Linked DNA regions of Macaca mulatta. The protein of the gene in region 1 interacts with the protein of each later gene in a pairwise test. Links are inferred from orthologs where the notes say so. Each region holds a gene or a part of one and is shown on either strand. Other genes may lie near its edges.

What was found.
Region 2: the proteins of UBE2E1 (region 1) and CNOT4 interact in a two-hybrid assay, tested with the Homo sapiens proteins (2 studies listed by BioGRID). The link is inferred for Macaca mulatta from reciprocal best matches to the Homo sapiens genes UBE2E1 and CNOT4.
Region 3: the proteins of UBE2E1 (region 1) and ZNRF2 interact in a two-hybrid assay, tested with the Homo sapiens proteins (2 studies listed by BioGRID). The link is inferred for Macaca mulatta from reciprocal best matches to the Homo sapiens genes UBE2E1 and ZNRF2.

Annotation. Positions count from the first base shown.
Region 1 is NC_133407.1:24,593,310-24,596,714, reverse strand, and holds the end of UBE2E1 (ubiquitin-conjugating enzyme E2 E1), read left to right. Parts: intron 1-613; coding exon 614-761; coding exon of another isoform or gene 762-880; exon of another isoform or gene 881-1,408; intron 1,409-2,041; coding exon 2,042-2,139; 3' UTR 2,140-2,835; downstream 2,836-3,405. UniProt on the Homo sapiens protein: Accepts ubiquitin from the E1 complex and catalyzes its covalent attachment to other proteins. Catalyzes the covalent attachment of ISG15 to other proteins. Mediates the selective degradation of short-lived and abnormal proteins.
Region 2 is NC_133408.1:175,336,162-175,339,911, forward strand, and holds the start of CNOT4 (CCR4-NOT transcription complex subunit 4), read right to left. Parts: upstream 2,704-3,750; 5' UTR 2,490-2,703; intron 1,761-2,489; 5' UTR 1,675-1,760; intron 1-1,674. UniProt on the Homo sapiens protein: Has E3 ubiquitin ligase activity, promoting ubiquitination and degradation of target proteins. Involved in activation of the JAK/STAT pathway. Catalyzes ubiquitination of methylated RBM15.
Region 3 is NC_133408.1:98,073,588-98,077,337, reverse strand, and holds the start of ZNRF2 (E3 ubiquitin-protein ligase ZNRF2), read left to right. Parts: upstream 1-1,069; 5' UTR 1,070-1,844; coding exon 1,845-2,307; intron 2,308-3,750. UniProt on the Homo sapiens protein: E3 ubiquitin-protein ligase that plays a role in the establishment and maintenance of neuronal transmission and plasticity. Ubiquitinates the Na(+)/K(+) ATPase alpha-1 subunit/ATP1A1 and thereby influences its endocytosis and/or degradation.

The DNA of each region.
Region 1 (3,405 bases):
TAGATAGTAAATTCTGTGATTTAGGTAGACAGGATGTCTGTGGGACCTGATGTAAAGGTCAGAAAAAAGCAGAAGTAGACTTCAAATTTTGTTCAGCTTTTTGGGTGTAGTCATTGTTTGCTAAGTATGTTGTTTAATTATCTTTAGGTACCTATTATGTTGCACTTCAGTTTTTAAGAGAGACTTACGATTTTAAATATTTTAAAGCTTTTAAGTATTTTAAAGCTTACTTTGAGGCAGTGTAGTACTACCAGCTAGCACAAGAGGTCAGCAAACAATTACCTATTCAGACTTGGAAATGTTAATATTTAAAAGATTTAAAATTGCTAAAGATAAAATTAGGAAGTACTGAACTTACCATCAGGGGACATAACATTTTAAATGAAATTGACACAGTCCCTGAGATGGTCAGTGAACACTTTCTAATCAAATTTATTAAACAAGTCTATCTTCTTGACAGCTTTAATTAAAACTGCTTTTATTCACCTTTTTAAAAACTACCTATCTGGGAGTTTTTTTTTCTTTCTTTCTAATTAGGGTCATTCAGTTGAGTATTTAGTAAAAAGTTTGTTTGCTTTTTAACTATTGTTTGACACTTCCTTGTTTTCCTTAGGTTACATTTCGGACAAGAATCTATCATTGTAATATTAACAGTCAAGGTGTTATTTGCTTGGACATATTGAAAGATAATTGGAGTCCAGCACTAACCATTTCTAAAGTCCTCCTTTCTATCTGCTCACTTCTTACAGACTGTAATCCTGGTAAGGTTAATAATTCTTTACCTTGTTTTATTCTTCCTCACCTGAAAAGTACTTGTTTCCAAAAGCTTTCAAAGGACAAAACTAATTTTTCTGCAAAACTTTATGAATATAAAAACTAATCTGCTTTTCAAAGAAAGTTTTAATCGAGAAGTTCAGTCTACTAGTTGAGACATACAACTTCATTAATCAGTATATTCTAGCAACAAGGTATTTTAAACTGAAGACGAAGTTTGCCTTGGGCTTTTACAGTTTCAGTTATTCTTCCCTCTATTTTTTTTTCCTGTTGCTTAATTTCCCATATAGTTCTTATAAAACAAATCATACACTTCTAAATGCCAAGTCATCTGCCTGGCAAGCCTCACCTTGCCTGTGGGGTTCAGTGGGCATGTGCCCATAGCTGGTCACTGAGATGGCACTCAGTTTTGAAAATGGTATTTGTTAAATACTTAGTGACTATTGAATTGTGACTTTTTTGGGACTTCATTTCATTTAAAAAATATTTTTCTGTAGTCCCAGCTACTAGGGTGGCTGAGGTGGCAGGATTGTTTGAACCCAGAAGGTCAAGGCTGCAGTGAGCCATGAGCATGCCGCTGCACAGAACTCCAGCCTGGGTGGCAAAGTGAGACCCTGTCTCAAAAAAAAAAAAAAAAAAATGTGTGTATATATATATAAATATATATATGTGTGTCTATACACACATATATTATTTATTTTATTTTCTAGGTAAACCAAATATAAATTTAGTTATTAAAGATCCTAAGATTCAGAGAAATACTATACTTAATTGGAGGTCCAGGTTTTGCCTGGCAACCTGGCTCTTTAACCAGTGTAAAGGTAAATAGTGTTGCATTGCAACAGCCCCGAAGACTTCACAGTATTCACAATGCCATAACTGGTGACACTGAGCTAAGGGTCACATCAACACAGTTGGATGTTCATTGTAGTCTGGAGCCTTGACCGTTCCAGTCTCCACTGAACTCAGCCTAACACATAAGAGTAAAGAAACTCCAATCGGGTGTTGTTTATTGGGAGAAAAATGGAATGAACTAAGATACAGACAGACCAGTAAACTAAAGCCTGAGCATTCCCTCTTCCTCCCATGTTACGATTTTTAAATTTTTGATGGAAAAATATCCGGCATAGTGGAGTGGTGTTTCGAAGATGGGTTTGATCACACATACTTGGTTGTACATGTCTGCCCAAGCTGTCACTAATGTATTTGCTAAAGTTTAAAATGTTCTTTTCCTTTCTCCAAAGTAATCTACATTCTTTTCTTCCAGCCGACCCCTTGGTGGGAAGTATTGCCACTCAGTATATGACCAACAGAGCAGAACATGACAGAATGGCCAGACAGTGGACCAAGAGATACGCTACATAAACTGGGTTTTCACAATTCTTACATTATTTGTCACAGAAGAGAGCTGCTTATGATTCTGAAGGGGTCAGGGAGGGTGGGAGTTGGTAAAGAGTAGGGTATTTCTATAACAGATATTATTCAGTCTTATTTCCTAAGATTTTGTTGTAACTTAAGGTATCTTGCTACAGTAGACAGAATTGGTAATAGCAACTTTTAAAATTGTCATTAGTTCTGCAATATTAGCTGAAATGTAGTACAGAAAAGAATGTACATTTAGACATTTGGGTTCAGTTGCTTGTAGTCTGTAAATTTAAAACAGCTTAATTTTGTACAGGTTACACATATGGCCATTTATGTAAAGTCCCTCTAAGACTACATACTTTTTGTTTAAAACAAAATTGGAATTTGTTTTCCCTTCTTGGAAGGGAACATTGATATTTAACAGAGTTTTTAGAGACTGTCATCTCATATATATAAAATGGACACGTGGCTGTAAGACACCATATAGGAGATGAGTAATGTGTTTTATTTTATATGCCAATCTACTTTGTTTAAAAAAGGTTTAAATCAGGACTTGTGAAAACCTGTAGTGAAATACCTTAAGCTGTTAACTGTAAGGCGTGGAATAGGAGTTGCTCAGTGGATTGGTTATATGTTGTGGACTACTTAAGTCTGCATTTGTTACTGTGCTAATAAACAATATTAAAAACCGCCTAATACTGCTGTGTTCATTTACTTTTATTTTGCCTTTTGGTTGCTGTTTGCAGATTCTTCTGAAATCGATAGGTATCTGCTTCTAAAACAAGCTAAAAATAATGCATATTTAGTAGGTATTATTTACCCATATTAGGATCTGTACTTTACACAGCTGTAGATGTTGAGGTATCCTAGACAAGGTTAAATAATCTACCCCATTTAGGCTTCAAAGACGAACCCTACTGCATTTTTTTTTAAAGCGTTTTCTGACTTGCAGATGCTGTAGTAGCAAGTACATGGGAAATGGGTTCTGTCAGGGATAAACTGGTACACTGCCGTAGGGGGCATTTTGGCAGTACCTAAGTATACACATGGCATGACCCAGCAGTGCTGTTTCTGTGTGTCTTTCATTACAGAATTTAAAAAGAATTGGTAACTCTGTCTGTACTAATATAGACTAAGTTGCATTAGCAGGAAACAAACTGGAAGGTACTTATTTAAAAATCATTATGAAAGCATTTGTCCATCTATGTAACATGTATGGAGGGAAAAGCTAGATTAATATTCAGTAACTGGGGGAAAAGGTAAGGG
Region 2 (3,750 bases), on another chromosome or scaffold:
CACACAAAAATATTTAGAAATCTCAGCTCCCTATTTCTTATCAAAATACTAAAGAACTTTAGATGTCTTCTTTAAACGTACTAAAGATACAAAAGTAAATTCCTTTTGACTTCAGAGGGCCGAAATGAAGAATTCGGTAACTGCAAGCAAAAAGTATGAGGGGAGAAAATTACTTGAGAAAATATTTCGTGAGACAAACACCATTTAAATAAAAAAAAAAAAAAAAAAAGACGTATTAAAATCATTTACTCCCTTCTACCAGACAAACAGTCCTCTCCTAGAACTCAACTGCTTACAATTCAGCCAAGTATGATTGCCAAGAGTTTCTAAACCTGTGTTAGGATTGTTCAAAGTGGAAAGCTTCTCCACCAGTGTATTACAACAACAAAAAGTATATTTTTTAGAGTTAAAGATCAACTATTAAATACACTCCTCTGATAAACTAAATGTAAGCGATTTAAAAAAAAAAAACTCAAGTTGTAACTTAGGACAAAGTTTGCTATATAAATTGCTTGCAGTTCTAAGAGTATTTATTTGGTCCCCCAAATTGGGGCTTAAGTGGCTGAAAGAAAAAAGTTTTATAGACAGGTTTTCTAACCTTAGTTTACATTTGGTAAAACAGACCATTTATCACAATCAAGTGAACATAATGCCAAATGTTAAGATTCCAAATTTTACAGGTAAAATGTGTAAAAATTACAATAACCCACTAATGGACTGCCACATGAGACTGTCACTGATGTTCAACATTTTTACATATATCTTAAGAATGCAATGTCATATATGTCATGTTCAAACTTGGGATGTATGTATTTGCACTATGTAATCCTGGTTGCTTTTCTGGTAATTCTTTATCTCACAGTGGTCTGATTATAGCCAGGGCTGCTTCTTCCCATTATACCATTAGTCAGTATATCTTAATTTTGCTTTCACCAAAACATGGACATCATAAGCCACCTCTTGCTTCTAGTTTTCTGCTTTTTACTGTAGATAACAATGACAGTGAGTTCTACCAAATGCATGTATGTGCACAGCTTTGTCATTCTTTTCCCAGCCCCCTTCTTTTCTATGAGAAAAATACGAGAAACAGGTTTATATAAAAACATCGATTTTTCTTTTGCATACATACCTAATGGATTTTCAAGAGAAGACAATTTATTCAGATAACTATCATCCTAGAAATGTCAAGAGAACTTCCCAAATCCAAAAATAAGAAGTAAATCTGATAATAACTGGAAAGGAAATTTCCACTCAAATCATAAATAAAATGTCATCAATTAAGCTGAACATCAATAAAACTCAGTCAAAAATCAAGTCTCAATACAGAACCCACATATAACCCACATATAATCAAAATATCACTTATATTTGCTAGCGGAGTTCACAGATGAATTCTGTATGTGCGCCAAATTTATCTTATTTTGAATTGCTGGGGTTAATATTAGTATAAATCAGAGCCCACACGAAGTGTCCTGGGCAGAGACAATCCAAAGAACGCTTAGTAGCATGGTAAAAACCGGTCCAAAATGAAAAAAAAAGAAAAGAAAAAAGCCACGTCCTAACACAACAGAGCGAATAAGCGACAAATAGATCACTGAAAGCAAAACGAAAACGGTCCCCTCCGGAGTAGACTGAATAAAAGATCTTTACTCATAACGTTTAATACTATCCGACCTCACTTCATTCACTTCCCAACTTCCTTTACTTTTCAAGGGCCACCACGGGGCATCCCTTTTTCTGGAAGTGTATATGGAAAGGATCTGTACAGGAAAGAGGGAAGGAACGGACAATTCTCAAGAAGGCTAAGAAACAGGTGGGTTAGCAGGAGCAGAAGCATAATCTAGACACTTAAGGGGCAGCTTTAAGATGACAGATGTGGTGGAAGGAAAGACTGCAAATCGGAAGAAGCCCTAGTGTGGCAGATACACTGTGGGCTGAATGCAAGCACCAAAGGGGGGCAAAGGCTAACTCCAGAGTGGTAGCAGTGGAGCAAAAAACAAGCAGCAGGACGGGTGGGCAATGAGCAGTGGGATTAACGAGCAGCAGCAGCAACACGGGTCAGAGTGGAAGTGATGGCTTTGGTCTTGGGAGACGGGGGCCAGTGGGAAAGGACGTCAGACAGGGAATAGGGGGTTGGGGAAACAAGGAGGACTGAGACCTAAGAATCCTGCCCCTATGAAAATGCAGGGGGCAAAGCTGGAGACCAAAAGCCGCCTCGGCTCCCCAGTTAAAGAAATTCTCGAAGGAGAGTCGCTGCTTGCCGCCGCGCTGCCTTCTGACCCGCTCGCTTTTCCTGATAACTGCTGTGGCGTAAAGAGGAGAGGGAGGAAGAGGAGGAGGAGGAAGAAGACCAAGGAGGAGGAGGGTGAAGATGAGGCGGGGGGTGGGGAGAAAGGGGGGTGCGGCCTGTACAGTCCCAGCGAAGCCTCCGCTCTCTCGTAGCCGGTCAGCCCCGGGTTTCCCCTAAGCCCAGCCCCGCATAGACTCACCCGCCTGCCTTGCCTCGCTTTTCCCTCAGCCGACTCCACGCGCTGCCGCGTCCTCACAAGAAACCACCGAACGAGCGTCGGGGAAAAAACTCTTCAGAACCGGGCCTGATTGCTTCAGTGAGTCCGACCTTTACGGCTGAGAGAGAGACTCTCAGCTTTCGGTGGGTTCCACAGCCAGACGGGCCACCATCTTACATTAGGGTAAGACTCCTCCGGCCTCCCGTGCGCAGGCGCACGCCGATCCGGCCAGGAGGGGCGGGGGAGGGGCGGGAGGAGCGGCGGGCGGCTGAGTGGGAGGTTGCGGTGGCCGCTCCCGCAGCACCCTGGGAGTTGGAGTCCTCGGAGGGTAACCGCCCAGGGGCACGCCGGGAGTTGAAGTCCTCTCTCAGAGGGCGGAGGAGATCGCCCACCTCACGTGGCTGCTGGACTGAGCCTTTCTTCGTGTTTTGCTTCCTTCTCTGCGCGCGTGTGCTACTTCAATGTCATTTGGTCGGCGGTTTTCACTAGTCATTCTGTGTCCTCGGTGTTTTTGGAAATGTGCGACCCCAAGACTGGGGCGAGGCTAGACAATTTTTCTGGGAGCCCGGAATGTTTCTTCTCTGCCCCGCCCACCAGGGATATCTAAAGGGGGCGGGGTGGAGGTGGAGGCAGGTTGGGGTACGAAGAGCGCGGGATTTGATCTAGGGTAAGAATTTGATACAGACTTGGCGTCTGTTTGCGAAACAAGGAGGAAACAGACGCCCGTTTAATTCATTTCCCTGTCCTTGCGCATTTGGGGGCCACCACCCTTGATACCTTCTTCACTGTAAAATCGCCGGTGAAGAAATATACTAAATTGTTCTGTGCAGATTACCCAAGAGAACGGAAGACCCGTGCACTTACAATAACGTGCTTCGGTTGATGTGAATTTGAGAATTTGCAGACCTCTGTGCGAATTAGTGTTAGTTCGCTGTCCTGCCAGCACAGCTGTGTGCAAGTTGACAAACTCTACACACATCGGCACATCCCCAAGAACAATGAATGCAGCCACAATCTCTACGAGCACTGAAGAATCATCAGTCACAAACGTCAGTCAATGTACTGGTCGCTCCCGTTTGCATCCCAGAACTCTGGTGAAAGCGGCGCTCGAAGCAGTAATTTTTGCTTATTGCATGTATTCTTCACCCACTCATACAGCAAATACTCAATGAGCTCCTCCTGGCCGCCGGGTACTCTTCTATATATTGAGAACACAATGGTGAGCAAAATAGAAAAAATTCCC
Region 3 (3,750 bases), on another chromosome or scaffold:
CTGGGTATCCAGACCCCACTCTGCCGTGAAGAGACCACACCAACACCGAGGAATGCACTGAAGAGAATTTTATTACATTCAATTTTAGAGAAGTTATAGGATCTTAAAGATGCAGGTGCCCTAGGATTTAACACAAAAAGTCGGCCAGGTGCGGTAGCTCACACCTGTAATCCCAGCACTTTGGGAGACCGAGGCGGGTGGATCACTTGAGGACAGGAGTTCGAGACCAGTCTGGCCAACATGGTGAAACCCTGTCTCTACTAAAAATACAAAATTAGCCAGGTGTGGTGGCACGCGCCTGTAATCCCAGCTATTCTGGAGGAGGAGGCAGGAGAATTGCTCGAACCCGGGAGGAGGTTGCAGTGAGCCGAGATCGCACCACTGCACTCCAGCCTGGGTGACTGAGCGAGACTCGGTCTCAAAAACAAAAACAAAAACAAACCTGAAGTCCAAAAAAGTAAAATAATTTGCTCACTACACATAATTTAGTTTGGTGTTGGGCCTAGATCTTAGGTTTTGTGAGTCAGGTGCAGCATTCCTGGCACGACGGTTTTTGCCCTACCACGGAAGGTCAAGTTGGATTATCCCGAGTTCTTCCAACTCTGCGCTTCCTCCCAGGTTGGTGTTTCACGAGTGAGTCTAATTCAGATCAAGCTGGCTTTTGAGATTCTGTTTTTTAAATCAGTGTGTAACACCAACACCCACCGAAACCAAATGGCTCTGGGCACAGGACACAGCCATTCACGCCCCCTGCCAGGAAAAGCTGCAGCTGACACAGGCTCCTCCAGCGTCGGCGGGCCACATGCGGGAGGAGGGGCCGCCTTCTGGTTGGCGCCGGGTGTCCGTCCCTCCTATCAGCGTAGGCCCCGCGAGGAAGACACGGGCTCGCCCTGGCTGGCGGGGCGGGGCCAGACACCTGTCCATCACCGAGTCCACGGGTGGCAGCACCTACCACACCGCAGTACCTTGGAGAGGCGGAGCAGGGGCGGGCAGGTCGCGGCCAGGGGAGGCGGAGCAAGGCCGGCAGGAGCCAATCGGCCCGGCGGCGCGAGGGGGCGGGGGCGGGGTCACCGCGCGCGACCCAAACACACGGGCTGGGCGCACCCTGCCGCCGCGCCGCTCCGCGGTCTTCCGGCGCGAGGGCTAGGGCACCTCCTCCCGTCTCGGGCACCCCCACCTTCGCGGCCCAGATCCTCCCGCCAGTCCGGCCCCTCCTTCGCAGGGGGAGCGAGGAGACGGTTGCCGGGAAGCGCGCGCCACCCCTCCCTCCCATTCTTCGTCCTCCCCTCGCGCGCCACCCGTTTTTCCTCTTTCTCCGTTAATAACAGCTGGGTGGCTGGGGGAGGAGGGAAGGTGGCCCCGGCGGAGTCTGGGCCGGCACCTCCCACTCAGCCGCCAGCCGCCGTGGGAGCCGGAGGATGGCGGCGGTAGCAGCGGCCGCCCGAGAGGAGGCGGTGCCGAGGCCCGGGGCGCCGAGCGCGGCGGCAGAGAGCGGCAGCAGCCCGTCGTGGCGCACCAGAACCGAAACCAGCGGCAGCCGCACGGCCACCTGAGCCGCCCGTTCCTGCTGGAGCCAGCGAGGGGTGCCAGCCGCCGGGACCTCTTCCTCTCCGCGTCTCTTCGTCTCCTGCGCCCGCGTCAGGCCGCCGGCCTCACCCACTGCCCCGAGAAGAGCGCGCCGGGCGCCGACTGCCCCTCGGGGCGCCGGGCGGCGGCCCTGGACGTGCGGGGGCCTCTCTGGGCCGGCCGCGGCGCCTCGGCCCTGCCCTCTAGCTCCTGCGCTCTCTCCCGCCCTCCCGGCTCTCGGGGCGCAGCGCGCGGGCCCGGCCCAGGGCAGGGCGGACATGGGCGCCAAGCAGAGCGGCCCGGCCGCCGCTAACGGCCGCACGCGCGCTTACTCGGGCTCGGATCTACCTTCCAGTAGCAGTGGAGGGGCCAATGGGACCGCGGGCGGCGGCGGGGGCGCTCGGGCTGCCGCGGCTGGGAGGTTCCCGGCTCAGGTGCCCAGCGCTCACCAGCCCAGCGCCTCAGGCGGCGCCGCGGCGGCCGCGGCGGCCCCAGCAGCCCCGCGCAGCCGCTCCCTCGGCGGGGCCGTGGGGAGCGTGGCGTCGGGGGCCCGCGCGGCGCAGTCCTCCTTCAGCATCCCGAACAGCAGCAGCGGCCCTTACGGCTCGCAGGACTCGGTGCACAGCAGCCCTGAAGACGGCGGCGGCGGCGGCCGGGACCGGCCGGTGGGCGGGAGCCCCGGCGGGCCGCGCCTGGTGATCGGCTCCTTACCAGCTCACCTCTCGCCGCACATGTTTGGAGGTACGGACCCCTCTCCGCGCGCCCGCGCTCGGTCCTCCCGCGGCTGCACGTGGGTCGTGGCCGCCGGCTATTTTTACCCTTCTCCTTTTCTCCTTCGGCCGGGCAGGTCTCTATCCTGGGAAGAAACCCCCGGCACTTAACTCCTGCGGTGCCGCTATCGCGTAGACGCGTGGTTTGGTTTTTAAACATCGTGAGCACCCTCACCTCAGCGGCTCCCCGGTAGAGAAAGTCTGTTTTCCATAGAGATGACTGGAGCAAATGTTGTTTTACAACAAACAGACGAAACAGCCCTTGTGGTTGTGGCTTTTAGTACCAGGAAGTCAGGAGGAGACCCGTTGCTAAATGTAGTTCTATCTGGGGACTCAGTGGGGAACAGTTTTTAAAGGCCAAAAGTCAAAGGGTCTCGAATGAACGCTGAGTTACCATCTTTGGACTGACTTTTAATATAAAGCTATAATCCTTAAATCTGTGTCAGTCCCACTTACTATGTCACTCTAGTTGTATGAATGCGTTAATGAAAAGTTTGTTTTTAAACCTCACTAAACCGCTACTTAAGGTCACAGTTAATGTGAGTCCTGCTTAATTTGGAAAACATTTAGAAAATGGAAAAATTTCCTAAGGAAGTAAAAATTTTGCAAATCAGCCTACTAGGTTCTTTTGAAGAGCAGTGTTGACTAGAGTTAAGGAAAAGTCAGTTGTGAAAAATGGGCATTTTTAATAGCAAAAGATGGCTTTACTATAGAAACAGGAGGAAGGGTGCATTGTCCTGGGAAAAGTGAATTCTTCTTCAGTTGTGTTTTATGCTGATCTACTTTATTGCAAAACGCTAATAGTAAATGAATCAAGACCACCTCCCCTCCCCGATTTATGAAAATAAATAGAAGTATAGAAGATAAGCATTCCCATTTCATCGCATTATGCATCTGATATTAGAAGAATTCGCAGCTGAGCACAGATTAGCAGCGAAAACAGCATCCCCTACATTTTTGTGCCTCTTTTACTCATGTGTTTGTAAACGTAGGAACTTTGAGTGGAGACTTAGTAAAGTGGAATACGTAGTAAATGCATTCCGTTCAGAGCAAGGGACAAACAGTTGAGCTCCATGCTTCCTAGTAAATGAGTAAATTTATCTCTTCTAATGTTCTGTACTATCAGCATATACGCCAGCATAAATTAAAAATAAGAATGTCATGTTTAATTTTTCCCATCTTTTAGTAACGCTTTGCACATTCAATATGGAATGATGCTTGACTTTTAATTAGCTACCTTGTTTTAAAGTAATTTTTGCTGCTTAAAAATATGCATCCCTCTTAAAATTGGGCCATTTTAAAAAGTCATTTGCTTTTGAGTAAAGGAACTCTACTGGTGTCCTTAAAGTGATTTGATCACAACTAACCTACCAGTTGAAGTTGCTGTAGTCCACATTGAAGAATATAAAAGGCA